4 linked regions of the Anolis sagrei genome follow. The protein of the gene in region 4 purifies or fractionates together with the protein of the main gene of each other region. This does not show direct contact. Links are inferred from orthologs where the notes say so. Each region holds a gene or a part of one and is shown on either strand. Other genes may lie near its edges.

Region 1 (7,391 bases), on a different chromosome or scaffold from region 4:
AACACAAGCTTTATATTTGCTTAGTACAGAAACTTTTTTTTTTTAATATAGTGGTACTTGTCTCAAATTTAAGCAAGTTGATTTTCAAAACCAATATGAAATTCACAGTTTTATAGGCCAGGCTGTAAGTAGGAACCTAACCTGAGATATAATACAAATATAAGGGCCCTCAAAATCGTGTGAATTAAATCAGAAGAAAAACAAAGATAAACAGAATCAGCATTGAAGGGGATATTGCATAGAATGTTTTTTTCAAAGTACATGTAAAGGTATACTAAGTACTACAGATATAAAGTCATAACTCTTCTAGGAAATACAATTTAAAGTGTGCCCCATAAAATAGTAATGGTAGATCTGTTTGAAGATCAGATCATACAGGTTCACACACAAAAGAAGTTAACATCTCTATGAAAAGTGGGACAGGGGAGGGCATGATAAATACAGTAATTGTGAAACTAGAATGCTTTAATATAAAAAAGAGAAGGTAGCAAAGCAAGTAGTGATGAAATAGCTAATATAAATTCAATAAAACAACACAGAAATTGTTTAGAATATTTATATGCAGATTTCAGTGAAGCATTTTGTCTCCTGCCATGACCAGTTCTAGGGGGGCTAGCTAATGCACATGTCTATTTATGTATGAATGTAAATTGGTTTGTCTCTGTCTAAGGCTTATCCCCAAAATCATCCCAATCTACTAGTGAAAGAATCAGAAACAGTCACCAAAGGCATCTACACTGTAGAATTGACGCAAGTTTGAGTCCACTTTAACTACCGTGTCTCAATGCAATGGAATCATGAGACTTTTCATTTTACAATGTCTTTATTCTTCTCTTCCAATGAGCGCAGTCATCTTAACTAGGCTATGACAGTTAAGCTGGTGTAGAAATGTACTAATTCTACAGTGTGGATGCAACTGTTGATAACACACTCCTATACACATAGTTCCCAGGAAGTAAGGGCTCTTCCAGACATGCCCTATATCCTAGGATCTGATCCCAGGTTTTCTGCTTTAAAATAGATTATATGTGTCTCCACTGCCAGATAATACAGGATAAACAGCAAAACAGTAAACCTAGGATATAGGGCCTGTCTGGAAAGGCCCCTAGTCTCTTAGGGCTGAAAGAATCATTGATTTTTTGCTCTGAGTAAGTAATTTTAGATAGAGGAGGAGTAGAAGTGAGCATCATAATCAGTGGGAGGACAAATCAATCCAGTGTGTTCATTGAACACTGAAGGAGAATAGGATATACTCTTATGTAAGGGGGGGGGGTCGTCAAAGTATACTAAATCCACTAAAACCTATATGATCTTGGAAGCTAAGCAGGGTATGCCTGGATTAGCAGGTGGAGAGGAAATCAACAAATGCCTGGTGCTGCAGATTATATTTCAGAAGAAAGAAATGACAAAGCACCTCTGAGTCTTTGGGTGCATGTATAACTAATGAAGTTTGTCACCACTTTAATTGCCCATGGTTCAATGCTATGGATTCATTGGAGTTGTAGTTTTGCAATGTCTTTAGCCTTCTCTAATATGTATTTAATGTATTAGAAGCCAACTGAGGTTACAGTTGTATTTTAAAAAGACACAAAGTTTAGAAACTTGGCATTATATTAACTGTCCGTTGACCAGTGGCTGGCCACTTGGGAGTGCCTCTGGTGTTGCTGACCTTCATTGTGAATGTGGCAGGGCTCTGACTGCATTGTAATAGGTGGTTTGCACTTCTACACACTTGCATGTCATAGACTCAACTTCTTAAGGTTAGCTCTGCATCTCGTGGTGCCTTCCAAATTGCCCAGTCTTCTGTGTGCCCAGGGGGAATCTCTCATTCGGTCTCAGCCATGGCTTGAGGCAAGGGTTTTCACCTGTGACTTTTGGACTCTCGCTTGCTGAGGTGTTCCTGCGAGTATCTGTAGATCTTAGAAGACTATTTCTTGATTTAAGGCATTGGCACGCTGGCTGATATCCAAACAGAGGATGAGCCAGAGATGTCACTGCCTTGGTCCGTTCATTATTGGCTGCTGGAAAGCAAACAAAAGCAAACTATTCTATGATTTCCTAGTATGCAATGAGGGCAGTTAAAGTGGGGCCAAACTGAATCACTTCTACTGTATAGATCAGGCATGGGCATACTTGGGCCCTCTGGTAGTTTTCATAGAATCAGAGAATTGGAAGAGACCTCATGGGCCATCCAGTCCAACCCTCTGCCAAGAAGAACAAAAATTGCATTCAAAGCACCCCTGACAGATGGCCATCCAGCCTCTATTTAAAAGCCTCCAAAGAAGGAGCCTCCACCACACTCTGGGGCAGAGAGTTCCACTGCTGAACAGCTCGCAGTGTCAGAACTTCTTCCTATTTATTATTTATTTATTTATTTGATGCACTTATTAACCGCCATTCTCAGCCCATAAGGGCGACTCATGGCGGTGTACAGTACACATAAAAGACAATTACAAAAAAGCCAGTTTCAACAACATATAAACTATACAACAATTACAGACTACACTAAAAATCCGCTTCGTCTCTTAGTGGAATCATAGCCAGTCTCATATTCCTTGTTCCATTCCAGTTCTCATTACCGTATTGTTTAGCACTTAATTAAATGCCCTCTCGAACAGCCATGTCTTAAGGCTTTTTCGAAAGGACATGAGGGAAGGCGCCTGTCTGATGTGTGCAGGGAGAGTGTTCCACAGCCGGGGGGCCACCACCGAGAAGGCCCTCTCCCTCGTCCCCGCCAGCCGTGCCTGTGAGGCAGGCGGGATCGAGAGAAGGGCCTCCCCAGACGATCTCAAGGTCCTCGTGGGCTCATAGGCCAAGATGCGGTCGGAAAGGTATTTGGGGCCGGAACCGTTTAGGGCTTTGTAGGCCAAAACCAGCACCTTGAATTGGGTCCGGTAGCAAATCGGCAGCCAGTGGAGCTGGGACAACAAAGGCGTTGTGTGCTCCCTGCCACCCGCTCCAGTTAGTAACATGGCTGCCGCGCGCTGAACCAGCTGAAGCTTCCGGGCCGTCTTCAAGGGCAGCCCCACGTAGAGAGCGTTGCAGTAGTCCAGGCGGGATGTGACAAGAGCGTGTACCACCGTGGCCAAGTCAGACTTCCCGAGATACGGGCGCAGCTGGCGCACGAGCCTGAGCTGTGCAAATGCTCCCCTGGTCACCGCTGAAACCTGGGGGTCCAGGCTCAACGATGAGTCCAGGGTCACACCCAAGCTGCGAACCTGCGCCTTCAAGGGGAGTGCGACCCCGTCCAGCACAGGCTGTAACCCTATACCCTGTTCGGCCTTGCGACTGACCAGGAGTACCTCTGTCTTGTCTGGATTTAGTTTCAGTTTGTTCGCCCTCATCCAGACCGTTACAGCGGCCAGGCACCGGTTCAGGACCTCAACAGCCTCCTTAGTAGCAGGTGGGAAGGAGTGACAGAGTTGGACATCATCTGCGTACAGATGACACCGCACCCCGAAACTCCGGATGATCATTGATTCCTAATGATCAGATGGAATCTCCTTTCTTGTAGTTTGAAGCCATAGTTCCTAGTCTCCAGGGCAGCAGAAAACAAGCTTGCTCCCTCCTCCCTGTGGCTTTCTCTCACATATTTATACATGGCTATCATATCTCCACTCAGCCTTCTCTCCTTCAGGCTAAACATGCCCAGCTCCTTAAGCCGCTCCTCATAGAGCTTGTTCTCCAGACCCTTGATCATTTTAGTCGCCCTCCTCTGGACACATTCTAGCTTGTCAATATCTCTCTTCAATTGTGGTGTCTTGAAAGGCTGTTAGGAATTGTGGGAGTTGAAGTCCAAAACCCCTGGAGAGCCCAAGTTTGCCCATAGCTGGTATAGATGCACTCTTCCTTGCTGAAGAAAATCCTGTAAAAACCATGGGGTGAGGATAACGTTGTATAGGAAGGGAGGCAAGGAGGAGAACAAGGAAGCAGAGGGAGGCCAAAGGGTGGCCAAGGCAAGGGAGGGGGACTCTCAGAGAAGGAAATAAAAGGCTCGGCGTTCCCTGAAGTGAAAAGATAGGCCTCGCTCCTTCTCGACTGGGAGAAAGTGGGGCTTACCTCCGGGTCCCCGCTCCGTCCCTCCAGCGCGGCCTCATCCTGCCTCCCCATCTTGAATTGAAGCCTCAGAAGGACGCCCAAGGGTCATCCCACGCACGCTCCAACGGATATCCCGCCCTATCCGAGTGCCGCTTCCGGTCGACCTTCAGGTGGCTCCTCCCCCTTCCCGACTCCGCAGGCGTTGGTGGGAGCGTTCGACTCTACCAAGATGGCCGACCTCCTCAATATGGCGGCCGCATCACGCCTCCACCTAACAATGAGGGACCCTCCCAAGATGGCGTCATCCAGCCAAGTTCTTCCAGGAGGTTGCTGTCGCCTGGGCGATCATGGAGGCCGAGTCTGAGGAGGAGACTGAGCGAGGGCCTCTCAGCCTTTTTGAGCTCAGTGGGAAGAGAGTCAGCTCCATCATGGGACGCGTGGAGAAAGAGGTTTGGGGTAAGAAGAGGAAAAAAGGACAAAATAATACACACAGGATGCATCTGTATCAGGCCTGGGCAAACTTGGGCCCTCCCTCCAGGTGTTTTGGATTTCAACTTCCACAATTCCTAACAGCCTGTAGGCTGTTAGGAATTGTGGGAATTGAAGTCCAAAACACCTGGAGGGAGGGCCCAAGTTTGCCCAGGCCTGATCTATATTGTGGAATTAATGCAGTTTAACACCACTTTAACCCCCATGGCTCTGGAATCCATGGGAATTGTATTCTAGTGAGACCCCAGCCCTTTTTTTGGCAGAAAGAGCTACAGATCTTGTGAAACTACAGCTCCCAAAGGTTTCAGCATTGAGTCATGGCAATGGTCCCAAACTGCATTCATTCATTCATTCATTCAGTGTAGAACTAAACTATCATAAGGCAACTTCTTTCTCATCTTTTGAAATTCATCAAAGGACGTTGAGAGATCCCCTGGAGATTTTGCCAGGTGGATTCGGCCTCCACCACACCAGGCCTCAATACCCTAAATTCACCACATCCTACCTAATCTTGGAAACTAAGCAGAGTCACCTCTAGTTGGTATTTGGGTGGGAGTCCCCCAACAAATACCAAGTTATTGTCGAAGGCTTTCATGGCCGGAATCACTGGGTTGTTGTAGGTTTTTCGGGCTATATGGCCATGTTTTAGAGGCATTTTCTCCTGACGTTTCACCTGCATCTATGGCAAGCATCCTCAGAGGTAGTGAGGTCTGTTGGAAGTAGGAAAATGTAGGAAGTAGGAAAAGTAGCAAAAGTCCTTTGTCCCACCCTGGTCATTCTACAGATATATAAACCCATTTTCCTACTTCCAACAGACCTCACTACCTCTGAGGATGCTTGCCAAAGATGCAGGCGAAACGTCATGAGAAAATGCCTCTAGAACATGGCCATATAGCCCGGAAAAACCTACAACCCAAACACCAAGTTATATTTCAGAGGAAGGAATGGGCAAAACTACTTTTGGGGGATTATTTGCCAAATGAAATCCATTCAAAAATCATGTTGTTGACAGGTGCCATGAAGGTAAAGACAGTACAGTCATCCCTCCCTATTTGCACAGGGCTCCTGTGACAATAGGAAACTGCAAATGAAGAAGTTGTTTTCTTTTTTTACCTGAGAGAACATCTCTCTACGAATTTTTGTGTCTTCCAGCTTGACTCTGTAGTCAACCTCTGCAGGAAGATTACCACAGAATTGCATTGGAAAAACTAGAGTGCATCTGCACTGTAGAATTAAGTCCCACCCATGGAATAAAAGTGGGATAAAAATGAATAAACAACCACAACAAATGTAGTTTGACACCATTTAACAACCATGGCTCAATGCTCTGGAATTGTGTGAGGTGTGATTCCGTGAAGTCTTTTGGCTTCTCTGCCAAAGAGTGCTAGTGCATCACCAAAACTACAACTCCCAGGATTCCATGGCATTGAACCATAGCTGTTTAAGGGGTGTCAAACTGCATCAATTCTACAATATGGATGCAGCCTTCGAGAGGTGATCTCCCTATAAATCTCTAGGCCTTTCAGCATGATTGTGGAGGAAGTTGATCAGAAACAGCAGTGAACCTAAAGAGTTCCAGACCCCTTTCACACAGATGTATAAAATCCACATTGAACTGGATTATCCAGCAGTGTAGACTCAGATATCTGAGCGCCCTTCCATACAACAATATAATACAGAATATCAAGGCAGACATTCCCACAATATCTGCTCTGAACGGGTTCATCTGAGTCCTCACTGCCATGTATTCCAGTTCAAAGCAGATAATGTGGGATTTTATTTAGTTATGTGGAAGGGGCCCCAGTTCAAAGCAGATATTGTGGATTATTTGTCTTGATATTCTGAGTTATATGGCTGTATGGAAGGAGCCCTAGAGAACATTTACAATCTAATCTATGAATAGTCAAATCTGCAAAAGTCAGAACCACAAAATGGTTAGGACGACTATATGATCCCAACCGATATATGCAGTTTCACTTATCCATGGTCTCCCTTATTTTCTTAGGGCCTCTTGTACAAACCACAGCCTCATCTCACTTTCTCTGTTGTTTGTCCCATTGACAATAATAGGGTTCGTTTTTATCCACAGTTTGGAATCCACACAAAATCCTAGAACATATCTCCCATGGATATGGGATCATGCATGTGTACTCTTTTTCAAAGGATGTTTATTTATACAGTATGTCCTTAAGCAGGGGTCCTCAAACTAAGGTCCGGGGGCCGGATACAGCCCTCCAAGGTCATTTACCCGGCCCTCGTTCAGGGTCAACTTAAGTCTGAAATGACTTGAAAGCGCGCAACAACAACAACAACAACAACAACAACAACACAACACTCCTATCTCACCAGCCAATAGCAGGCCCACACTTCCCATTGAAATACTAATATGTTTATATTTGTTAAAATTGTTCTTCATTTTAATTGCATTGTTTTTAAGTGTTTTCTGCACTACAAATAAGATATGTGCAGTGTGCACAGGAATTTATTCATTTTTTTTTTCAAATTATAATCCGGCCCTGCAACAGTTTGAGGGACTGTGACCTGGCCCTCTGTTTAAAAAGTTTGTGGACCCCTGTCCTAAAGAGTTAAATTATGTTAGACACAATGAAAGAGATTTTCACAAGGGTGAAAATGCAAATGCATCTGTATCTGGTTTTGTTTTTTGTTGTTTTTTGTTGTTTTTTTTGTGTCAGTGACTGAACTTTGGCTTTGTCTACTCTCCACAAAAGCACTTCCGGGTCCAGTACTCCAGGGCATCTTGCCTCTCCTTAACATTTACTATCTGGAGCGAATTGAAGCGACTGCTGTGAAGAAAGGTCAGTTATTTTGGAAGATGTACTAGAGGAAGGATAAATAATGTTCAA
Region 2 (8,088 bases), on a different chromosome or scaffold from region 4:
ACCACCACCCATGGGATATATATTCATCCTTAATGTTAATCATTCTTATATTGACCTCTTCTCCAAAATGCCAGTGTATGTTGGTTTTATTCCTTTTTCTTTGTAGGTTGTGCTTCTTCATCAGCTTCCCTATGTGGTCAGTGATTCCCTTGATATATGGGAAGAACACTTTTCGCTCATGGCTTCTTCTTGGTCTTGCAGCTCTTCTTATGTCTGGTGGAGTCTCTATTGGCCTGTAGAGCCCAGCTTAGGTGGTTCAGTTTAAACTCTAAAATCAAAACAGTAAATAAAGAACAACACTAAAAAACAGGGGCCAGCTAATCAGTCAGACCTTGAAGCTGCAAGGTCATTTAATGCTAATCAAGGTGGCCAATTGCAACATTCACACCTGCCTCAAACAGACAATAATTATTTCTCCCATCCTGGGCATCATTCTACAGATATACAGGGTTAGTCAAAATGCATAGGCCAATAAGCCATTTGTATAATCCCTCCTTGCCTAGTTTCTAACAAACCTCACAACCTCTGAGGATGCCTGCCATAGATGCAGGCAAAACATCAGGAGAGAATGCTTCTGGAACATGGCTATGCAGCCTGGAAAACTCACAGCAACCCAATAACAAAATTCATTTATTTAAATAATAATAATAATAATAATAATAATAATAATAATAATAAGGTTCCATGTGCAAACTGAAAAATATTCCTCTCGTTTCTCTGTCGGTCTCAAGGAAGGGATAAAACTATGGCACAATCTAATCCATTTCTGTACAAGATGCTAATACGCCCGGCGTTCCACAGAGCACCATCTGCACAACATGAAAGAAAGACCCTTCCCCATTCTGTGCATTGGGGCCAAGATGATAAGTCACAAGACAATCCTTTTACGCGAGGGATGGGCTTTCAAACAAGGGACATCTGGCAATCCTACTGGGGAATTTCCCCTGCTGTCATTGTCATCACCATCACCATCATCATCTTTTGTTCAGGCAGCAGTTGTGGCTTCCCATGTGCTGCGCAAAGAGATTGGCAGCCATGAGAATCCCTGGATTCGTGTCCCCCGTCTCTTTTTTCTTTTGAGGCTTCTGATAGATAGATAGATAGATAGATAGATAGATAGATAGATAGATAGATAGATAGATAGATAGACAGATAGATAGCAGGCAGGCTAGCTTGGGTACACAGGTTATTTGAAAAAAGTCGATTTTTATGTTTAGAAATATCAGTTTAATAATTTGCTTTTTATGATTGCTTCCATTAGAAAAAGCATAATCATAAAATCATAGAGCTGGAAGAGACCTCGTGGCCCATCCAGTCCAACCCCCTGTGAGGAAGCAGGAAAATCGCTTTCAAAGCACCCCCGACAGATAGCCATCCAGCCTCTGTTTAAAAGCCTCCAAAGAAGGAGCCTCAACCATGCTCCGGGGCAGAGAGTTCCACTGTTGAACAGATCTCACAGTCAGGAAGTTTATTTATTTATTTATTTCAGGCACTTCTACCCCGCCCTTCTCAACCCCCAAGGGGGGACTCAGGGCGGCGTTCTTCCTTATGTTCAGATGGAATCGCCTTTCTTGCAGTTTGAAACCATAGTCTCCAGAGCAGCAGAAAACAAGCCTGCTCCCTCCTCCCTATGACTTCCTCTCATATATTTGATACATGGACGTGGGTGAACCACAACTCCCATATTCCAAGGTCAATCACCTCCAAACCCTGACAGTATTCCTAGGTGGCCATGTTGGGTGAGTCAAGTTTGGTTCAGATTTGTCGTTGGCTGGTTTCAGTACTCTCCAGAGGTGGGTGAACTACAACTCCCAGATTCCAAGGTCAATCACTCCCAAACCCCACCAGTGCTCACAGTTGGCCATGTTGGATCTGTGTGCCAAGTATGATCCACATGTTGTCATTTGCGTTTGCAATACTCTTTGGATGTAGGTGAACTACAACTCACCCAACTCAAAGTCAATTCCCCCCAAAACCACTCCTGTGTGTTCTGTTGGCCATGGGGTTTCTGTGTGCCAAGATTGGTCCAGATCCATTGTTGGTGGGAGTTACAGTGCTCCCTGAAAGTTGGGGCCTTCTTGGAAAATACATACAAACACTGGGATTTATTGGGCAGGTGCCCGGGTTATTAGAAGAAGGCATTGTTTGTTTTGGGATGTTAGGTAATATCACTTAAGTTTGGTGGAGCTCCCACTGGCACAATGAGTTAAAGCCTTGTGCTGGCAGGACTGCTGACGGAAAGGTCGGCAGGTCGAATCTGGGGAGCGGGGTGAGCTCCCATTGGTCACCTCCAGCTTCTCATACAGGAACATGATAGAAGCCTCCCACAGGATGGAAACACATCCGGATGTCCCCTGGGCAATGTCCTTGCAGACAGCTGATTCTCTCATATCAGAAGCAACTTGCAGTTTCTCAAGTTGCTCCTGACATTAAAAAAAACCCAAAACTTTAAATTTGATCCACATCCATTGTTGGCTGGGTTCCATGCTCTCTGGATGAGGGTGAACTACAACTCCTGGATTCCTAGGGCAATCACTTCCAAACCTTGACAGTATTTATTTATTATTTATTTACAGCATTTCTGCCCTGCTTTTCTCACTCCCGCAGGGGGACTCAGAGCGGCTAACAAAGGCAACAATTCAATGCTGCAATAATTACAATAATAAAGCAAAATAAAATCATACAGTACGATACATTAAAACAGCATTAGTTATCCAATCATAAAGGCATTTCCATTGTAACAACCGTCTGGTCCAATTCACTGTTCTGGTGCCGTTAAATCCATTAGCCAAAAGCCTGGTTCCACAACCACGTCTTCAGTTTTCTTCTGAAAGAAAGGAGGGAGGCCGCTGATCTAATTTCGCTGGGGAGTGAATTCCACAGGCAGCGAGGTCACCACCAAGAAGACCCTGTCCATCATCCCCACCAGTCACATTAGCGAAGCTGGTGGGACCGAAAGCAGGGCCTCCCCAGCAGATCTTAAGACTACGAGGCGGAACATATTCGCACTTGGCCATGTTGGGTCTGTGTGCCAAGCTTGGTCCGGATCCATCGTTGGCTGAGTTTAGTGCTCTCTGGATACAACTCCCAAATTCCCTGGGCAATTGCCCCCAAACCCCGTCTGTATGCATAGTTGGCTCTGTTGGGTCTGTGCACCAAGTTTGGTCCAGATCTGACGTTGCCTCTGTTCAGTACTTTCTGGATGCAGGTGAACTACAACTCCTCAAACCAAGCTCAATTCCCACAAACCCCTGAGTATGTTCACTTGGTCATGGCGCTTCTCTGTGTCATGTTTGGTTCCTGTCAACTGTTGATGGGGGTCACTGTTTCGCTGGATGAAGGTGAACTGCAACTTGCGAAATGAAGGTCAATTCCCACAAACCCCTGCAGTATGTTCAGCTGGTCATGGGGCTTCTGTGTGCCAAGTTTGGTCCAAGTCCATTGTCAGTGGGGGCCATTGTTTCTCTGGATGCAAGTGAACTACAACTCCCAAAAACAAGGTCAAGTCCCACAAAGCCCAACACTGAGTTGTCTTGGGGCTTCTCTGTGCCAAGTTTGGTCCTGGTCCATTGTTGGTGGGGGGTCATTGTTCTTCTGAATGTAGGTGAACTACAACTCCCAAAATGAAGATCAATTCCCACAAATCCCTGCAGTATTTTCTGTTGGTCAAGGGGCTTCTCTGTGCCAAGTTTGGTCCTGGTCCATTTTCGGTGGGGGTCACCAGATGTAGGTGAACTATAACTCCCAAAATGAAGGCCAATTCCCACAAATCCCTGCAGTATGTTCAGTTGGTCATGGGGCTTCTCTGTGCCAAGTTTGGTCCTGGTCCATTGTCGGTGGGGGTCACTCTTTCTCTGGATGCAGGTGAACTAGAACTCCTGTAAATCAAGGTCATTTCTAATAAAAGATACATTAATCACACATTATGAAATGCACATTCATACACACACAGAGAGACATATATATACATATACAGTCAGGTATGTCTGTCTGTTTGTACAAAAAGCTGTTGCTAGGTGACAATCCGGTGGTTTTTTACGATGTCACTGGCTTGGCCGTTGCTAGGTGAAGTGACCCTCTGTCATGACCCAAGATCAGCCGTTGCTAGGTGAAGTTGTCTTCCTCTACGTCACTGGGGAAGGAAAGGGGCCTGTGTGTATGGAGAGGCCAGAGGGAGAGCCCTGTTGCCATGGAGACGCCATGAGGAAGGAAGGAACTCTTCCTCCCCTTCCCAACATGCTTTGTCTTATTTCACGCTCAGCGTCAGCGCACCAAGGCCGCGCGCTGCATGCCGGGACGAGTAGTCTATGGTCCCTCCCCTTCTCTCTCTCTCTCTCTGTCTCTGCCTTCTCTCCCCGCTCACCAATCCTTCGCGGCTCGTGATTGGGCGCGTCAGCCTGAGAGGGCGGGATCAAACGTCTTCAGGCTGAGTGACATTTCCCAGGCCTTTCCCTTCTCTCTCGCTTTTTCCCCGCCCGCCGTTCCTGAGTGGAGGAACCCCCCTGAGGAGGCGGGAAGTAGAAAAAAAACACAAGGAAAAGCGGACTGACTGATATGCGGAGCAGCCTATAAGAGGGCCGTTCTTCCTTGCGTTTTCCCCGCCCGCCGCTTGTCATTGGAGGCGCACTTGAGGAGGCGCGAGAGAGAACAAACACAAGGAAGGATGGGATGACTGACGTGCAGACGAGCCTATGGAAGTGCCGCTCTCCTTTACTTTTTCCACGGCTGCCGCTCCTGATTGGATGGGGCACCTGTGGAGGCTGGAGAGAGAAAAAATACACAAGGTAGGGCGGTTTGACTGACGTGCGGGGGAACCTGTGGGAGGGCGACTCTCGCTTGCATTTCCCTGCCCACCGCTCATCATTGCTGATTGACGTGTAGGGAAGCCTATGGGAGGACGCCGTAGCCGCTGCGTTGGCTCGTTCGTGCAGGAGCCGAGCGCGGCCGACTCAGAGAAGAAGGAGGAGGAAGCAGGAAGGAAACAGGCAGGCGGGCAGGTGAGGCCTAGACGGGAGGGGATTGACATCTGTCGGGAGGGTTCTGATCGTGACCTCGCCGAATGGGCCCCGGCCCGGGTCTTTTCTTATTTATTTATTTATTCAGGCAGGCCATGCTGGGTGGGTTTTTGGTTTAGTTTTGAATGCGGATTTTAAGGGGTTTTTAAAAATGTAATGCCAATGATAATTAAACCTGATATGAATGCTTGTAGATTTTATTAAAATTGTATTGAAAGATCTTCAATAATAATAATTTATAATGGCCAAAGAGATACAGGGAATTTAAGAATAATTATAATGATGATAATATATAACATAATAATAATAATAATAATAATAATAATGACCCTTGGGGTTGTAAGAGGTTGCCAAAACCAGAAATACAAGGAACATAATAAAAATGATGTTATTAATCTATAAATATTATATATTTGTAATATATGATATTGCAATAATTATAATAAGAATAAGCCTAAGAGTAAGCATAATGGCGAGATGTGATTGCCAAAAGCAGAGCTACAGGGAATATTATAATAATATAATAATAGTAATATTCCAAGTTAATAGTATATTACATAATAATAATAATCGCACTAATGGCCATTGAGATCTCTTCCTTGGGGATAAGAGATTGGCAAAAGCAGAGCTACAGGGAATAGAATAATAATAGTAGTAGAAATAATAATAGTAATAATGGCAATTGGGGTCTCTTCCTTGGGATTCAAAGAGATTGGCAAAAGCAGAGCTATAGGGAATATAATAATAATATATTATAATAATATAATAGTAATAATGGCCCTTGATGTCTCTTCCTTGGGATTGTAAGAGATTGCCAAAGAACTACAGAGAATGATGATGATGATGATGATGATAATGGCCGCCAGCATTTGGAAACAATAAACATTGACAAAGTCACACTCTGTCACCTGCAAAAGGCCAGCTTACTTGGAGCTGTGCGCATTATTCGAAAATACATCACACAGTTCTAGACACTTGGGAAGTGTTCAACTTGTGATTTTTGATGCAAAATCCAGCATATATATCTCGTTTGCTGTGTTTTTGTGTCAGTAAAATAATAATAATAATAATAATAATAATAATAATAATAATGGCTGTTGTGGTCTCTTTCTTGGGGTTGTAGGAGGTTGCCAAAAGCAGATCAACAGGGTTAAACCGCTGTTGAATTAAAGGGAGTCAGGCTGGATTCGCTCTGCCATATAATCAAGTTCAACGCAGATAATAATCCTCAGAGACGGTTCTAGAGATGGGATTATATGGCAGTGTAACTGGAGCTTCACTTGTCAGCATAGGGTGACCCCATGGATTTCATATGGTTTTCCTAAGCAAGGAGGAATGCTTGTGTTGCGGGTTCCTGCATGGAAGAATAACCTGATTGGGTGGCCCTTAAGATCCCTTCCAACTCTGTTGATTCTGAGATACTGCTAAAAACAGAGCTACGGTTTATTAAACCACCGTTGAATTAAAGGAAGTTCAAATGCATTTAGAGATCACCGTCATACCTCTCAACAAGATTGATTCTTTTAAAGATTCAGATTGCAGGAATATATAGTAATAATAATAATAATAATAATAATAATAACAATAATAACTATATTTATATTCCTCTCTATCTCCCCGGAGGGACTCAGAAAGAGAGGATTCCACCTAAATATAGAATCATAGAGTTGGAAGAGACCACATGGACCATCTAGTCCAACCCCCTAAGAGGTTGGTCATCCGTTGGGAATGTTTTGATTGTGTATTGCTACTTGACACAATAAGATTGGGCTGAATGGCCTTTGGGGTTATTTTCAATGCTAGGATTCTAAGATAATTGCTAAAAAAAACAAGAGCTACAGGGTTAAACCACCTTTTGAATTAAAGGGAGTTCAAATGTACCTCAATCATTGTTTCCCATCCCTTCCAACAATATTGATATTTTTTATTTTGGAAATATTCAGATTGCAAGAAAAGAGGATCCCACCTAAAAATCAGGAAGAACGTGTAATATGCCAGTCCAGTGGAGTCTCCTTCTCTGGAGGTCTTTAAATAGAGGCTTGATGCCCATCTGTTGGGAGTGTTTGAATTATACATTTCCTGCAGGGCAGAATAAGCTTGGACTGGATGACCCATTTCTTCCTACTCTAGGATCCTAAGATATTGCTAAAAACAGAGCTACTGAATTAAATCACAGTTGAATTAAAGGGAGTTCAAATGCACTTCAGTGGTGGCTGAATTAAAGTTAGATCAACTGTACTTCAATCCTTGCTTTCAGTCCTCTTGGTCCTAGTCTCTTCCAACTCTTGTGTTTCTATGCATAAGAGTGCTCACTCATTAAGGCCCCATTTACACTGACCATTTAATGCTAGCTTCAAACTCTGGGCATCCAAAAACAAACTCCCACAGAAGTGTGTGAGAGAAAGTCCTGAATGTGCATTAGTGCTCTGTGATTTGTGACATCGCCTCCGGACTTCAAACTGGTCCTAGGATTTCTGATGCAATACTCTGTACCGTGAAACTACTTTCTTGAGTACTTGATTGAAAACTGCATAAAATGGCCAGTATAGATGGAGTCAAAGCGTCCAGGTTTGGCTGCCAAATAAGGGATCTGAGCCCCTAGTGCCATAACTTTTGTATGGTTGTGCCTCTGGGAAGCACCTTGTAAGCAAAAACAACTTACAAATCAGGAAGTCCCAGGTAATGATCTGGCCTCTCCCATAAATAAACCCAGTATCTGGTTTTAGCTAAACTGCACTCTCTTCTCAGTCTCCCTCTGCATCACAGGGAGGGAATAATAATCTCACTTGCCATGCAATCAGCTGTGATATACATATCATTTTGGAAGTGTTGCTTAATAAGTGTTAAGTAACATTGTTAAACTGCTATTCTTCCCCCCTTCTTCTATATCGTGCATGCAGTATTTCTCTCTTTTTCTCTTGCTTGTTCCCTTTGGTACCTTTTTTAGTGCCAGGCACTGTGAAACCTAATTCTGGCATACTTTCCTTATCCAGCACCTACAGAATCTTAGTGAGTTCTCTGTCAGTGTGACACTAGATTGCATCTGGATTTATGCTAGCAATTGCATAGGTTA
Region 3 (7,577 bases), on a different chromosome or scaffold from region 4:
CAGTCCGTACTTTGAAAGTCATTGTTCTACTCCAGAAACTTCGTTTTTGTGGCTGCTGCAAACTATGTTGAATTGGTTGAGACTCGATGAGATATTCATTGAAAAACTATAGCAACAAGTTCTCTAGCAGGATGTCCCACAGAAACAAAGGTTTTGCAGTTGAATAAATGTTTCCCATGTTTCTATGAAAGAGCCAATTAGGAAATGACATTTCTAACCCAGAAACAAAAATTGTGTTGCAAAGTGTTGTTATGATTACTCGCCTCTCCTTATCCAGCATCTACCAATCCCCCTTGGGTGCCAGTTAACCTGAGAGTCTACTGTAATAACTGGAAGCTAACAAATGTATCTCATATGAGTGACTTGCAACTATAAACAGCATTATTCCCTACATCTGCTATTTGCTCTCAGCCATGTACTCGGGGATTGAGCACAAATGGAAAATAACAAAAATGAAAGCCAGTCCTGTGGGTCTTTCATACATGGACATTGACAGGCATTTGTATGTGATGCGTAAGCATCTCTGTTTAGAGCTGCCTTGGCTTTGCTATGCAATCGAGGCCATTGTGCAGGAAGGCGTCTTGCTTTAGTAGCACCTTGCCATTCAGCACCCGAGTTGCCATGGGCAGACGCCACGCTTTGCAGCCTTGATGGAGGACCTTGTTCCCAAAGCCTGACTCATCCAAACAACGCTCACAGGAAGAGCGGTGGGGAGACAAAAGCACCTGCACAGGAGGCTCTCTTTTTGTTAACCCATGGCTTCCCATGAGATTGAGTGGTAGATGCTGGGGAACGGGCATTTCTGGATGCTTGAGAGTCACTCTTTAAAATAGGCTTAACTCAGACTGTGCCATACTAGTATAAACTCTGTATTGACTTGTGGTTCATATTGAAAGACAATCCCTAAAAGCCAAGGAGGACAAACTCAATGCAATGCAACCATCTTTTACAGCTTTTGATTTAAAGGATTCTTGGATCGATTTTTTGCCGGTTGCTTGAGTTCCAGTCAACAGAGAGTCTACTGTGCGATCTGGTCAGTGAGCTTTGGCATTCCCATTTGCATTTGGACTTCCTGCTTCAAGAAACTATCCCTAAATATAGTCTCTCTTTGGTGAGCTCTGGGTGTGTCTGCACTGTTGAATGGATGCCATGGAATCTGGGATTCTGTCCTTTGGTGAAGGCCTTGTGAAACTATAACTCCCACCATTCCAAAGCATTGAGCCAAAGCAGGGAAAGGAGTGTCAAATTGCACAGAGATTGCCAAATTTATATATTTGGGCCTCGTTTGTATTTTTGGTTAGTAACTTGGAAGAAGTTACCTCAGGCCAGCAGTATTTTTTCAACCAGTTTTTTGTAAATTAATAAAAAAAAGACTTGTATAGGTTGGTTTGTTGTTTTCCTGTTGAAAACATGGGCTAGGACACTGAGGTGCTGAAGGGAACGTGCAAATCTATTGTTGTTTATTTGTTCAGTTGCTTCCAACTCTTCATGACCTCCTGGCCCAGCCCACACCAGAGCTGTCTGTCTGCCATGGGTGCCCCAGCTCCTTCAAGGTCGAGTCAATCCCTTCAAGGATGACATCCCTCCATCTTGCCCTTGATCCGCCCTTCTTCCTTTTTCCTTCCATTTTCCCCAGCATTATTCTCTTCTCCAAGCTTTCCTGTCTTCTCATTACTACTGGGAATAACACTGCTTTAACTATGCTGGACCTTCGTTGCCAGTGTGATATCTCTACTCTTAACTCTTTTATTGAGATTGGTCATTGCTCTCCTTCCAAGCAATGACCAAAATCGATAAAATAGTGAAGAGTAGACACATCACACTGACAACAAAGATCCGCATAGTTAAAGCAATGGTATTCCCTGTAGTCACCTACGGATGTGAGAGCTGGACCATAGGGAAGGCTGAGCAAAGGAAGAGAGATGCTTTTGAACTGTGGTGTTGGAGGAAAGTCCTGAGAGTGCCTTGGACCGCGAGAAGATCAAACCAGTCCATACTTCAAGAAATAAAGCCTGACTGTTCATTGGAGGGAAGGATATTAGAAGCAAAGATAAAGTATTTTGGCTACATAATGAGAAGACAGGAAAGCTTAGAGAAGACAATGATGCTGGGGAAAATGGAAAGAAAAAGGAAGAGGGCCAACCAAGGGCAAGATGGATGGATGTTATCCTTGAAGGGACTGGCTTGACCTTGAAGGAGCTGGGGGTGGTGATGGCCAACAGGGAGATCTGACGTGGGCTGGTCCATGAGGTCATGAAGAGTCGGAAGTGACTGAATGAATGAACAACAACAACAACAACTCCCAAGAAGGAAATGTCTTCTGATTTCCCAGCTGCATTCCACATTTGCAGTAATTTTCGCACCTAGAAATACAGTCTTTCACGGCCTCCACGTTTTCTCCCTCTATTTGCCAGTTATCAATCAGTCTGGTTGCCATCATCTTGGTTTTTTTTAAATATTTAGCTGCAATCCAGCCTTTGCACTTTTTTCTTTCACCTTGGTTAGAAGGCTCCTCAGCTCCACCTCACTTTCAGCCATCAAAGGGGCATCATCTGCATATCTAAGATTGTTAATGTTTTTTCCAGCAATTTTAACTCCAGCCTTGGATTCATCAAGCCACACACATCGCATGATGTGTTCTGCATACAAGTTGAATAGGTTGGGTAAAAGTATACAGCCCTGCCATACTCCTTTCCCAATCCTGAACCAGTCGGTTGTTCCATTGCCTGTTCTTACCGTTGCTACTTGTTCTTTATACAGATTCCTCAGGAGACAGACAAAATGACTTGGTATCCCCACACACCAAGAACATGCTACAATTTATTGTGATACACACAGTCAAAGGCTTTAGAATAGTCAATAAAACAGAAATAGATGTTTTTCTGAACTCCCTGCCTTTCTCAATTATCCAGCGGATATTGGCAATTTGGTCTCTCCTTCCTCTGCCTTTCCTAATCCCAGCTTGTACATCTGGCAACTCTCTCTCCATGTATTGATGGAGTCTACCGTGCAGGATCTTGAGCATCACCTTACTGGCATGTGAAATAAGTGCCACTGCACAAAAGTTTGGGCATGCTTCAGTGTTTCCCTTTTTGATATGGGGAGATAAGTTGATTTTTTCCCCAATCCGATGGCCATTCTTGTGTTTTCCATATTTGCTGGCATATGGCATGCAACACCTTGATAGCATCATCTTTCAAGAGTTTAAACAGCCTCTTCAAATTCTACAGCACTGCTGGTCACAGCTGACCTCCAGCTGGAGCACTCAAGGGCCAGGGCTTCCAAGTTCTCAGTGTCTTTGCCAGTTTTTAAGGTTGGCTTTGAGCCCATCATTCAATCTGTTTTCTTGCCCACCAACATTCTGTTTTCCATTCTTGAGTTCGGAGTAGAGCAACTGATTTGGGAGATGGTGGCCAGTCCAGCGGAGCTGATGGCGGAGGACCATCACTTCACTGCTGGTGATCTTTGCTTCTTCCAGAACGCTGACATTTGTCCGCTTGTCTTCCCAAGAGATTTGCAGCATTTTCTGGAGTTGCATGTGACATCTGTAGACTGTCCACGCCTCGCAAGCGTATAGCAGGATTGGGAGGACAATAGCTTTATAAACAAGAACGTTGGTATCCCTATGGATGTCCCGGTCCTCAATCACTCTCTGCTTCATTCGGGAAAATGCTGCAGTCGCAGAGCTCAAGCAGTGTTGTATTTCGGTGTCGATGTTGGCTTTTGTGGAGAGATGGCTGCTAAGGTAGCGGAAATGGTCAACATTTTCTAATGTTACACCATTAAGCTGTATTTCTGGCATTGGAGAGGGATTGGCTGGTGACTGCTAGAAGAGCACTTTGGTTTTCTTGATGTTCAATGACAGACCAAGCTTCTCATATGCTTCTGCAAAGGTGTTTAGACTGGCGAGTAGGTCTTATTCTGAATGCGCACAGATGATGTTGTCGTCAGCATATTGGAGTGCTACAACAGATGTTGTTGTGACCTTGGTTTTGTCTTTCAGTCTGCTGAGGTTAAACAGCTTGCCATCTGTCCAATAGATGATTTCCACTCCGGTGGGACGCTTCCCATCAACAAGATGAGGTATCATTGCGATGAAGATGGGAAATAAGGTTGGGGCAGTAACACATCCCTGTTTGACACCTGATTCCACCTTAAATGGGTCACTTTGGGAGCCATTGCTGTCCAAGACTGTTGCCATCATGTCATCATGGAGGATGTTCACAAATTTGTTTGGGCACCTGAGAGGGAAGGCGCCTTCTGTTTCTCAGAAGGAAGGCAAGAAGAGGGAAGAGAGGGCGAAGAGGACTGGGAGGCAGGTAGGCCAGGAAGAGAAAAAAGGCGGGAAAAGCGCCCAGAGCCCAACGCGCATGCGCTGCCCTAGGACAAAGGTGCCACTGGAACCCCTGTCCGGCCTATGCTGACAGCCCCGCCCTCTCCTCAAACCACGCCCACCTAGCCTCCTCGGCAATTAGCCCCTCCCCGGCCGAGGAGGGATCACGTGACCCCCAAGAAGAGGAAAAGGAAGTGTCCCCGGCGCCGGCTCTGCTGTGTTTTCTGATGCGGTCCGGATGGAGGGGAGGCCGGCGCCTCAGGGAGAGGAAGCGGAGGGTGAGCCGTTCTGCCAAGCCTCGCGCCTCCTCTGCCCGAGCAGGCCGCCCACTGCTGCTCCCACCCTGCCCTAGCAGGCGCCTTGGCCATGGAAGCTGCCCTTCAGGCCCAGGCCCCTGCCACACCGCCCAATACCGCCCCACATTCTCTGCTTGGAACTGCGATATATGGCCGTGGGGACTCAGATAATCCCGTCCAAAGGATAGATTGCGGGATTTATTTATTTCGTATCAAAAGCATTTCATAAATTAGTATAAAAACGATAAGAAAAATAGAAGGAGCGCAGGTGGCTAAATAAAACGGGCAACAGCAACGGCATTGTCGGTAGCCCCCAACAATTCTTCCTCAGTACATGAGGCAGGGCAGAGTGGGCAAGCATACAGATGCGGGGATGTCTGCTCTGCTCCACAGTCACACAAGGTGTGGGATTCTTTTAGGTAGTGCCCTGTTGCCAGGTTGTCTTTTGATCTGCCCACTCCAGTCTGTGCAGGGACTTCCAGGTTGCTCATTCTTGGTTTGCCCCTGGAGGAAGACCCTCGTGAGGGCCATCCGGTTGGGATTTTTCGATTTAGCTGCCCAGAGGGATACCCTTGCTGTTGCTGGGGGAACGCCAAGAGGAGTGGTAGTTCTCATAAAGCTTTTCCTTGATCTGAGTCTACTGCAGTGGTTCTCAACCTTCCTAATGCCGCGGCCCCTTAATACAGTTCCTCATGTTGTGGTGACCCCCAACCATAACATTGTTTTTGTTGCTCCTTCATAACTGTCATTTTACTACTGTTATAAATCATAATGTAAATATCAGAAATGGAAGATGTATTTTCATTCACTGGACCAAACTGGGCACAAATACCCAATGCAACCACATGTAAATGCTAGTGGGGTTGGGGGAGGATTGATTTTTGTAATTTGGGAGTTGTAGTTGCTGGGATTTATAGTTCACCTATAATCAAAGAGCATTCTGAACTCCACCAGCAATGGATTTGAACCTTATTTGCCACACAGAACTCCCATGACCAACGGAAAACACTGGAAGGGTTTGGTGGGTTTGGGAGTTGTAGTTCACCTATATCCGGAGAGCACTGTGGACTCACACAATGGTGGATCTGGACCAAACTTGGACAAACACTCAATATGTGCAAATGTGAACACTGGTGGAGCTTGGGGAAAATAGACCTTGACTTTTGGGAGTTGTCGTTGCTGGAATTTATAGTTCATTGCAATCAAAGAACATTCTGAACTCCACCAACGATAGAATTGGCTCAAACTTCCCACATGGAATCCCCATGACCATCAGAAAATACTGTGTTTTCTGATTGTCTTTGGCGACCCCTCTGACACCCCTTCGCGACCCCCTCAGGGGTCCCGACCCCCAGGTTGAGAAACACTGGTCTACTGGGAGGAGGCTGGTAACCATGTAGTGAATGGCTTTCACGGTGTACGACCTTATTTCTCTCACATTTAGCAGCAACTTCCCGCTGCACATGGGGGGGGGGGATGCCAGCTAGCTTGTAGAGTTTATCAACAGGTATAGGTTTAAGACATCCTGTGATTATTCTGCATGTTTTGTTCAATGCTATGTTCACCTGCTTTGCATGGGCAGACCTATGCCAAACAGGGCAGGCATACTCAGCAGTTGAGTAGGAAAAGGCCAGGGCTGATGTTTTTATTAATTTTGGGTCTGCACCCCATGTGCTGCCAGTATGTTTCCCCAGGATGTTATTGCATGCAGCTACTTTGTGCTTGGTGTTCAAGCAGTGTTTCCTATATGCTAGTGTTCGATCTAAGGTGACACCGAGATATTTAGGATGGAAATAATGTTCAAGCTCTTGACCTTCCCAGGTGACTTTTTTTAAACAATTGTGGGATTATCTGACTTGATATTCTGGGTGATATGGCTGTGTGGAAGGGCCCATCCATGCACATTAAACTGCACTATATGGCAGTGTGGACTCAGATAATCCAGTTCAAAGCATATCTTGTGGATTATCTGCCTTGATATTCTGGATGATATGACTGTGTGGACAGGGCCCTGGGTTACCTGAGTGGCCTTCCACACAGCCATATATATAACCCAGAATATCAAGGCAGATAATCCACAAGGTTTGCTTTGAACTGGGTTATCTGTGTCCACACTGCCATATCATCCAGTTCAATGTGGGTGTTACACAGCAGTGTGAATGGGGCCTCAGGAAGCCCATTGGGGATTTGGGGTTTTGGATTTCCACATGAGGGATACTCCACCTTTCACAATTATTTATCGTATCAGGAGCAAATCTGTAATGTATTTAAAAAACACAGTTTTAAAAAACTTGGCATTATACTAAATGTCCTTTCACCAGTAACTGGCCATTTGGAGTGCCTCTGGTGTTGCCTATAAGGAGGTCCTCCATTGTGCATGTGGCAGGGCTCAGGTTGCATTGCAGCAGGTGGTCAGTGGTTTGCTCTTCTCCACACTCGCATGTTGTGGACTCCACTTTGTGGCCCCATTTGTTAAGGTTGGCTCTGCATCTCGTGGCGCCAGAGCGCAGTCTGTTCAGTGCCTTCCAAATTGCACGGTCGTCTGTGTGCGTAGAAATGAGTCTCTCATTTGGTATCAGCCACTGATTGAGGTGCTGGGTTTTAGCCTGCCACTTTTGGACTCTTGCTTGCTGAGGTGTTCCTGTGAGTATCTCCGTAGATCTTAGAAAACTATTTCTTGATTTAAGGCATTAACGTGCAGGCTGATATCCAAACAGGGGATGGTCCAGAGATGTCATTCCCTTAGTCCTTTCATTATTGGCTGATACTTCCCGGTGGATGTCAGGTGGCGCAATACTGGTTATACAGTGTAATTTCTCCAGTGGTGTAGGGCACAGACAGCCCGTGATAATACAGCATGTCTCATTAAGAGCTATATCCACTGTTTTAGTGTGATGAGATGTGTTCCACACTGGACATGCATATTCAACAGCAGAGTAGCCAAGCGC
Region 4 (7,944 bases):
TATTGAGCCATGGGGGTTAAAGTGATGTTTAACTGCATTAATTCTACAGTGTAGATGCACCCTGTGTCAGTCTTCTTTGGCAAGATTAACTGAGAATGACTACATCTGTAGCTCAGAATATCTGGAGAAAACGAGACTGGAGAACCTTGCTTCAGACACCACCCCAAACTCAAATGCTACTTACTGGTACGTCCTGTAAACTCACCATCTCCTATCTGGCACTTTGTTGTGTGTGTGTTTAATCTGCCACTTTGCTTTGCAAACTTGTATACTATTTTCACATAGCTAGGGCATCTCTCCAGTATGTAGACACTGCATCCATACTTTTGGTGAGTGCCTTTCACTTCCAACACAATCCATTCTTGATTACAGGAAGTTGCATATATTGATATCAGCAACAAAGGTGCTATTAAGTAGCAAGATATTTTCTATCATACTCTTATTACCATTTTATTATCTACATGCTTTCTGGTCTTTACATTTTCAAAAAAAATTTAAATAAAGCTATGTAATGTGTACTCTATTCTGATGAGTCCTTGGTCTGATTTATGTAGCCCAAGAAGTGAATATTTCTTGAACTGGATTGAGAAAAACAATACATCTACACTCCGTTTTAGCTGCCATGGCTCAATGCTATGAAACACAAGCAGAAAGAGTGCTCATAATCAGACTTCTAGACCTAGATCACTTAGGCCCCGTCTCCATGTCACCTTTTGACATATGGAGACCTCGTGAATTTCATAGAGTTATCTTAGGCACAAAATATATAAGGTGCACCTACACCGTAAAATTAATATAGACAAACTGTAATGGTTTAATGCTATGGAACCATGGGAGTTGCAGTTCTACAAGGACTCTAGCCCACTTTGCCAATAGTGCTGGTACGTACAACTCCCATGACTCCACAGCATTGAGTCATGGCAGTTAAAATGGTAGCAAACTGCAATAATTCTACAGCGTAGGTACATTCACAGAGGTGATTTTTGCCAGTTCCTTCCTTGGAAATCGATAAGGTGGGCAAAAGTCACAAATAGTTTTCAATATTTCATAACTCCTTAATTTTTTTGTTTTGTAGGTTACAATATCATAGCATCACATGGAGTACATTACATGTAAAAAAATCTAATTGGGTAAATTATATCCAATACCATGGCATCATAATAGATAGAGTAGGCCAAAAGACACAAAGGAATTTCAATATTTAATAACATACATATGATACATCTGTATTATTGAAGGCTTTCACAGCTCGAATCACAGGGGTGTTGTGTGGTTTCCAGGCATTTTCTCCTGACTTTTCATCTGAATCTGTGGCTGGCATCTTCAGAGGATATGTTTATTTATTTATTATTTATTTACAACATTTGTATACCGTTTTTCTCACCCCGAAGGGGACTCAAAGCGGTTTCCACATAGGTAATGGCAAAATTCAATGCCAGCACAAACAATTACAATTGTACAATTACAGTTAGACATAAATCAAATTAAAATACATCCATAAACAGTAAAATTCTACAGTGTAGATGCACCCTGTGTGTGTATATGTGTGTACATGTATATACATCTAAACATACATAAATATATGTGTATATATGTATATGTATGTACTTGTATACACATATACACATTATACATATGTTTGTATACATGTGTGTACGTGTATATACATATACATATTATATATGTGTGTATATGTGTTTACATGTATATATTAACATTATACATATGTGTGCACATATGTGTGTACATGCATATACACATACACATTATACATGTTATGTGTGTCCATGTACACAGATATATATATATATATACATTATACACATACATGTATATGTGTATATATGTATACATGTGTGTATATTTGTGTTTATGTGTATATACATATAAGCATACATAAATATCTACATGTGAAACATTTACACACATACATACATATACACATACATAAATGTATATATGTGTGTACATGTATATACATATACACATACATAAATACATGTGTGCATGTATATACATACACACATTATACATATATGTGTATACATGTGTATAATGTACATATACACATTATACATAAATGTGTGTATATGTGTAGATGTATATACATACACTTTATACACATGTGTGTATACAAATATATGTGTGTACATGTATATACATATACACATTATATGCTTACTTACTTACTTACTTACTTACATACATAGGCGATCCCTCGTTGTCCGAGTAGGATTGTCTTCCAAGATCGGTGTATAAGCGGTGACTGTGGAGCCCTATTCTTGATCTGAATCTTCTCCCGCAGTGAGGGCATTGGTTTCCAAGTGGAAAGTGGTCCCAGTCAGGGTTGGCTTGGCAGGCCTTCCTTTTCACATGTTTCTCTCTTTTGCCCCTTCAGATTCTACAGCACTTCTGGTCACAGCTGACCTCCAGCCAGGGCTTCCCAGTTCTCAGTGTCTATGCCAGAGACATTATATGCATACAGATGTTGTTGTTCATTCGTTCAGTCGTCTCCGACTCTTCGTGACCTCATGGACCAGCCCACGCCAGAGCTCCCTGTTGGCCGTCACCACCCCCAGCTCCCTCAAGGTCAGTCCAGTCACTTCAAGGATGCCATCCATCCATCTTGCCCTTGGTTGGCCCCTCTTCCTTTTGCCTTCCACCTTCCCCAGCATAATTGTCTTCTCTAGGCTTTCCTGTCTCCTCATGATGTGGCCAAAGTACTTCAACTTTGTCTCTACTATCCTTCCCTCCAATGAGCAGCCGGGCTTTATTTCCTGAAATATGGACTGGTTGGATCTTCTCGCAGTCCAAGGCACTCTCAGCACTTTCCTCCAACACCACAGCTCAAAAGCATCGATCTTCCTTCGCTCAGCCTTCCCTAAGGTCCAGCTCTCACATCCGTAGGTGACTACAGGGAATACCATGGCTTTGACTAGGCGGATCTTTGTTGCCAGTCTGATGTCTCTACTCTTTACTATTTTATCGAGACTGGACATTGCTCTCCTCCCAAGAAGTAAGCGTCTTCTGATTTCCTGGCCACAATCTGCATCTGAAGTAATCTTTGCACCTAGAAATACAAAGTCTGTCACGGCCTCCACATTTTCTCCCTCTATTTTCCAGTTGTCAATCATTCTTGTTGCCATAATCTTGGTTTTTTTGATGTTTAGCTGCAACCCGCTTTTGCGCTTTCTTCTTTCACCGTGATTAGAAGGCTCCTCAGCTCCTCCTCGCTTTCGGCCATCAGAGTGGTGTCATCTGCATATCTGAGGTTGTTAATGTTTCTTCCAGCAATTTTCACCCCAGCTTTGCATTCATCCAGCCCCGCACATCGCATGATGTGTTCTGCATACAAGTTAAAAAGGTTGGATGAGAGTATGGACCAGTACAACCAGAGATATACATGTATACACATGTACATATACACTTCATACATAAATGTGTGTATATGTATGTACATGTATATACATACACACTTTATACACATATGTGTGTTTATACAAATATATGTGTGTACATGTATACACATATACACATTATATATGTTGTGTATATGTATGTACATGTATATACATACACACTTTATACACATATGTGTGTTTATACAAATATATGTGTGTACATGTATACACATATACACATTATATATGTTGCCAGTTGCGCCCGTACCTTGGGAAGTCTGACTTGGCCACGGTAGTCCACGCTCTGGTTACATCCCGGATTGATTACTGCAATGCGCTCTACGTGGGGTTGCCCTTGAAGACTGCCCGGAAGCTTCAGATGGTCCAGCGCTCGGCGGCCAGGTTGCTAACGGGAGCGGCACTCAGGGAGCATACCACTCCTCTGCTGAGCCAGCTCCACTGGCTGCCAATCCGCTACCGGGCACAATTCAAGGTGCTGGCTTTAGCCTATAAAGCCATAAACGGTTCTGGCCCTGCTTACCTCTCCGAACGCATCTCTACCTATGAACCGACCAGAACATTAAGATCGTCTGGGGAGGCCCTGCTCTCGATCCCGTCTGCGTCACAGGCGCGCTTGGCGGGGACGAGAGACAGGGCCTTCTCAGTGGTGGCCCCTCGGCTATGGAATGCCCTACTGGCAGACATCAGGCAGGCACCTTCGCTGCTGACGTTTCGGAGAATGGTTAAGACCTGGCTTTATGAACAAGCGTTTGGTTAAGCAGTGCAACCAATCATAGGAAGACGGTAAATGGAACATAGGAATGGCACAAGGATTATGAAAACGGATCTGATTTCAACTGAGGCGTTATGTTATGTTTGTCTTGTTGATCTGTCTTGTTGATTGTTAATTGTTGTGGATTGATGCTGTTGATCCTGTTTGTTGCATTGTTATGTTTTAATTGCACTGACACTGTTTGATACTTGTACCATGTAAACCGCATTGAGTCGCCTGTCAAGGGCTGAAAAAATGCGGTATAGAAAAAAAGCAAATAAAATAAATAAATAAATAAATAAATATGCATATAAATATAAATGTGTGTTATTATGTTTAAATACTGAAACCCCGTTGTGACTTTTGGCCCACCTTGTGAAACATCACCTGGTCCTTCTTGGCGGCCTCCCACCCAAGTACTGACCAAGGCTGACCCTGCTTAGCTTCCAAGAGCTTAGCGATGACGTCATCAGCGGGGAGGGAGGTTAAGGCAGAATTCTGCGAGGAAGAAGAAAAAAAGAGTGTCAGGATGACCTCCGGCCGGCAGGGGTCGCTGTGGTGGGAAGCCTCAGCGGCGCACACTCTCCCTCCCTCCCTCCCCTTCCCTCGGTGCGGCGGGGGCTTCCGGCTCTGGGGCGCCGCATCATGTGGGCTCTCGCGGAGCCGGGCCGCTGCGAGACGACGGCTCTCCTGCGAAGCCTCCTCCGTGAAAGAGGCCATGAGGCGCTGAGGGGGAAAGAGGAGGCGGAAGCTAGTGCCAGCCCCTGACCGAGCGGCGAAGCATGTAAAGGCAAAGGAAGAGAGGAAGCCGCCACCGCCGCCGCCGAAATCTCATCCGCCGCCGCCGCCGCCGGCCTGGTCAGGCCTCTCTTGTGCGCCTGCGCGGGCCCCCCTCCCCTTGCGTGCTGTGGAGGGGGGCAACATGGCGACGTCTAATCTCTTAAAGGTGAGAGGAGGAGGCGGCTGGGCCTGGAGGAGGGTTGAGAGGTTATTATGTGGAGAGGAGGAGGAAGAGAAGAGGGAAAGCCAAGAAGGGGAAGTGAGGAGGGAAGAAGAGAGGCTGTGTGTCTGTATGTAGATTATATCTATCTATATTTAAGTGCTGTGTTCGTTTTGGGTGACATCATAACTCAAAAACCGCTGGACTCATTGCCACCAAATTTGGCCACAAGGCACCTACTAACCCAAGGAGTGATCATCAGAATTGATTTTGTCACTTGGGAGTTGTAGTTGCTGCGATTTATAGTTCACCTACAATCAAAGAGCATTCTGAACCCCACCAACTATAGAACTGAGTCAAACTTATCACACAGGACTCTCCTGACCAACAGAAAACACTAGAAGGGTTTGGTGGGCATGGGCCTTGTATTTAGGATTTGTAGTTCACCTACATCCAGGGAACACTGTGGACTCAAACAATTAAGGATCTAGACCAAACTCCATATGCCAAATATGAACACAGATGGGGTTTGGGGAAAATAGACCTTGACATTTGGGAGTTGTAGTTACTGAGATTTAAAACACTAGAAGGGTTTGGTGGGCACTGGCCTTGAGTTTAGGAGTTGTGGTTCACCTACATCCAGGGAACACTGTGGACTCAAACAATTAAGGATCTAGACCAAACTCCATATGCCAAATATGAACACAGATGGGGTTTGGGGAAAATAGACCTTGACATTTGGGAGTTGTAGTTACTGAGATTTACAGTTCACCTAAAATCAAAGAGCATTCTGAACCCCACCAACTATAGAATTGAGCCAAACTTATCACTCAGCACTCCCATGACCAACAGAAAACACCAGAAGGGTTTGGTGGGCATGGATCTTGAGTTTAGGAGTTGTAGTTCACCTACATCCAGGGAACACTGTGGACTCAAACAATTAAGGATCTAGACCAAACTTGGCACGAATACTCCATATGCCAAATATGAACACAGATGGGGTTTGGGGAAAATAGACCTTGACATTTGGGAGTCATGAGATTTATAGTTCACCCACAATCAAAGAGTATTCTAAACTCCACCAACAATAGAATTGGGCCAAACTTGGCACACAGGCCAAGAGAAAACACTAGAAGGATCTGATGGCCCTTGAGTTTAGGAGTTGTAGTTCACCTACATCCAGAGAGCACTGTGGACTCAAACAATTAAGGATGTAGAACAAACCCGGCACACAGAACTCCCATGACCAACAGAAAATACAGGGAGGGTTTGGTGGGCTTGAATTTCAGAGTTGTAGTTCACCTACATCTAGAGAACACTGTGGACTTAAACAGTTAAGGATCTAGAGCAGTGGTTCTCAACCTGTGGGTCCCCAGATGTTTTGGCCTTCAACTCCCAGAAATCCTAACAGCTGGTAACTGGCTGGGATTTCTGGGAGTTGTAGGCCAAAACACCTGGGGACCCACAGGTTGAGAACCACTGATCTAGAGGGTTTGGTGGGCATGGACCTTGAATTTAAGAGTTGTAGTTTACCTACATCCAGAGAACACTGTGGACTCAAAACAGTTAAGAATCTAGACCAAGCTTGGCATGAATACTCCATATGCCAAATATGAACACAGATGGGGTTGGGGGAAAATAGATCTTGACATTTGGGAGTTGTCATTACTGAGATTTATGGTTCACATACAATCAAAGAGCATTCTGAACCCCACCAACGATAGAATCGGGCCAAACTTCCCACACAGAACCTCCATGACCAGCAGAAAATACTGTGTTTTCTGGTGGTCTTTGGCAACCCTTCTAACGCCCCCTTGTGACCCCCCCCCCCAGGGTCCCTACCCCCAGGTTGAGAAATGCTGCCTTAAGGCCATCCACTCCCAACTTCCTTCAAGAAAACATAATCAAAGCCCTCCTGATAAAGAGCCATTAAGCCATAGATACAGATAAGGTATATATGATTCACACACACAAATATGTATGTATATGACAGATATAGTATATATTTGAAAGGGAATCCTTAAAGAAGGACAATTATATGTTGCTTGTTCCAGAGTAGGCAGTCCAGACAATCTCCACATCAACACTGACAAAGAAACAACAAGAAATACTGTTTACCCACAAGCATAAAGAAATTGCATCAACCAACACTTTCTCCCTACTTTATTTTCCAGCTCACCAGACTGGGCCACAGCAACATGTGGCAGGGGATGGCTATATGTAGAGATCTGTGCTTGGGCTGAGGCCTCTTCCACACAGCTATATTCAATCTCACATTGAACTGGAATATGTCAGGGTGGACTTAGATAACCCAGTCCAAGGCAGACATTGTAGATTATCTGCCTTGATGTTTTGGGTTGTATGTCTGTGTAGAAGGGCCCTGAGCCCACACTGCCATATAATCCATTTCAGTGTGGATTTTATACAACTGCATGGAAGGATCCTGAGATAATTCTGATACATTGAAGTTCTTAGAATCATAGAGTTGGAAGAGACCTCGTGGGCCATCCAGTCCAACCCGCTATCAAGAAGCAGGAAAAATCACATTCAAAGCACCCCTGACAGATGGCCATCCAGCCTCTGTTTAAAAGCCACCAAAGAAGGAGCCACCACCACATTTTGGGGCAGAGAGTTCCACTGCTCTCACAGTCAGGAAGGTCTTCTTCGTGTTCAGGTAGAATCTCCTTTCCTGTAGTTCGAAGCCATTGTTCCACATCCTAGTCTCCAGGGTAGCAGAAAACAAGATTGCTCCCTCCTCCCTATGACTTCCCCTCACATATTTATATATGGCCCTCATCATGTCTCCTTTCAGCTTTCTCTTCTGCAGGCTA

Evidence for each region.
Region 1: the proteins of CUL5 (region 4) and LRRC41 purify together in Homo sapiens (affinity purification with mass spectrometry; 3 studies listed by BioGRID and IntAct, counting the BioPlex papers as one, with this or other methods). This does not show direct contact. The link is inferred for Anolis sagrei from reciprocal best matches to the Homo sapiens genes CUL5 and LRRC41.
Region 2: the proteins of CUL5 (region 4) and RAB40C purify together in Homo sapiens (affinity purification with mass spectrometry; 5 studies listed by BioGRID and IntAct, counting the BioPlex papers as one, with this or other methods). This does not show direct contact. The link is inferred for Anolis sagrei from reciprocal best matches to the Homo sapiens genes CUL5 and RAB40C.
Region 3: the proteins of CUL5 (region 4) and WSB2 purify together in Homo sapiens (affinity purification with mass spectrometry; 3 studies listed by BioGRID and IntAct, counting the BioPlex papers as one, with this or other methods). This does not show direct contact. The link is inferred for Anolis sagrei from reciprocal best matches to the Homo sapiens genes CUL5 and WSB2.

What each region holds. Positions count from the first base shown.
Region 1 is NC_090024.1:178,395,599-178,402,989, forward strand, and holds the start of LRRC41 (leucine-rich repeat-containing protein 41), read left to right. Parts: upstream 1-4,254; 5' UTR 4,255-4,385; coding exon 4,386-4,494; intron 4,495-7,256; coding exon 7,257-7,343; intron 7,344-7,391. Other genes in the region: UQCRH (cytochrome b-c1 complex subunit 6, mitochondrial), read right to left, coding at 4,060-4,110. UniProt on the Homo sapiens protein: Probable substrate recognition component of an ECS (Elongin BC-CUL2/5-SOCS-box protein) E3 ubiquitin ligase complex which mediates the ubiquitination and subsequent proteasomal degradation of target proteins.
Region 2 is NC_090034.1:27,645,636-27,653,723, forward strand, and holds the start of RAB40C (ras-related protein Rab-40C), read left to right. Parts: upstream 1-4,883; 5' UTR 4,884-4,997; intron 4,998-8,088. UniProt on the Homo sapiens protein: RAB40C small GTPase acts as substrate-recognition component of the ECS(RAB40C) E3 ubiquitin ligase complex which mediates the ubiquitination and subsequent proteasomal degradation of target proteins.
Region 3 is NC_090034.1:43,464,225-43,471,801, reverse strand, and holds the start of WSB2 (WD repeat and SOCS box-containing protein 2), read left to right. Parts: upstream 1-4,483; 5' UTR 4,484-4,571; coding exon 4,572-4,611; intron 4,612-7,577. UniProt on the Homo sapiens protein: May be a substrate-recognition component of a SCF-like ECS (Elongin-Cullin-SOCS-box protein) E3 ubiquitin ligase complex which mediates the ubiquitination and subsequent proteasomal degradation of target proteins.
Region 4 is NC_090023.1:26,179,077-26,187,020, forward strand, and holds the start of CUL5 (cullin-5), read left to right. Parts: upstream 1-4,779; 5' UTR 4,780-5,095; coding exon 5,096-5,119; intron 5,120-7,944. UniProt on the Homo sapiens protein: Core component of multiple cullin-5-RING E3 ubiquitin-protein ligase complexes (ECS complexes, also named CRL5 complexes), which mediate the ubiquitination and subsequent proteasomal degradation of target proteins.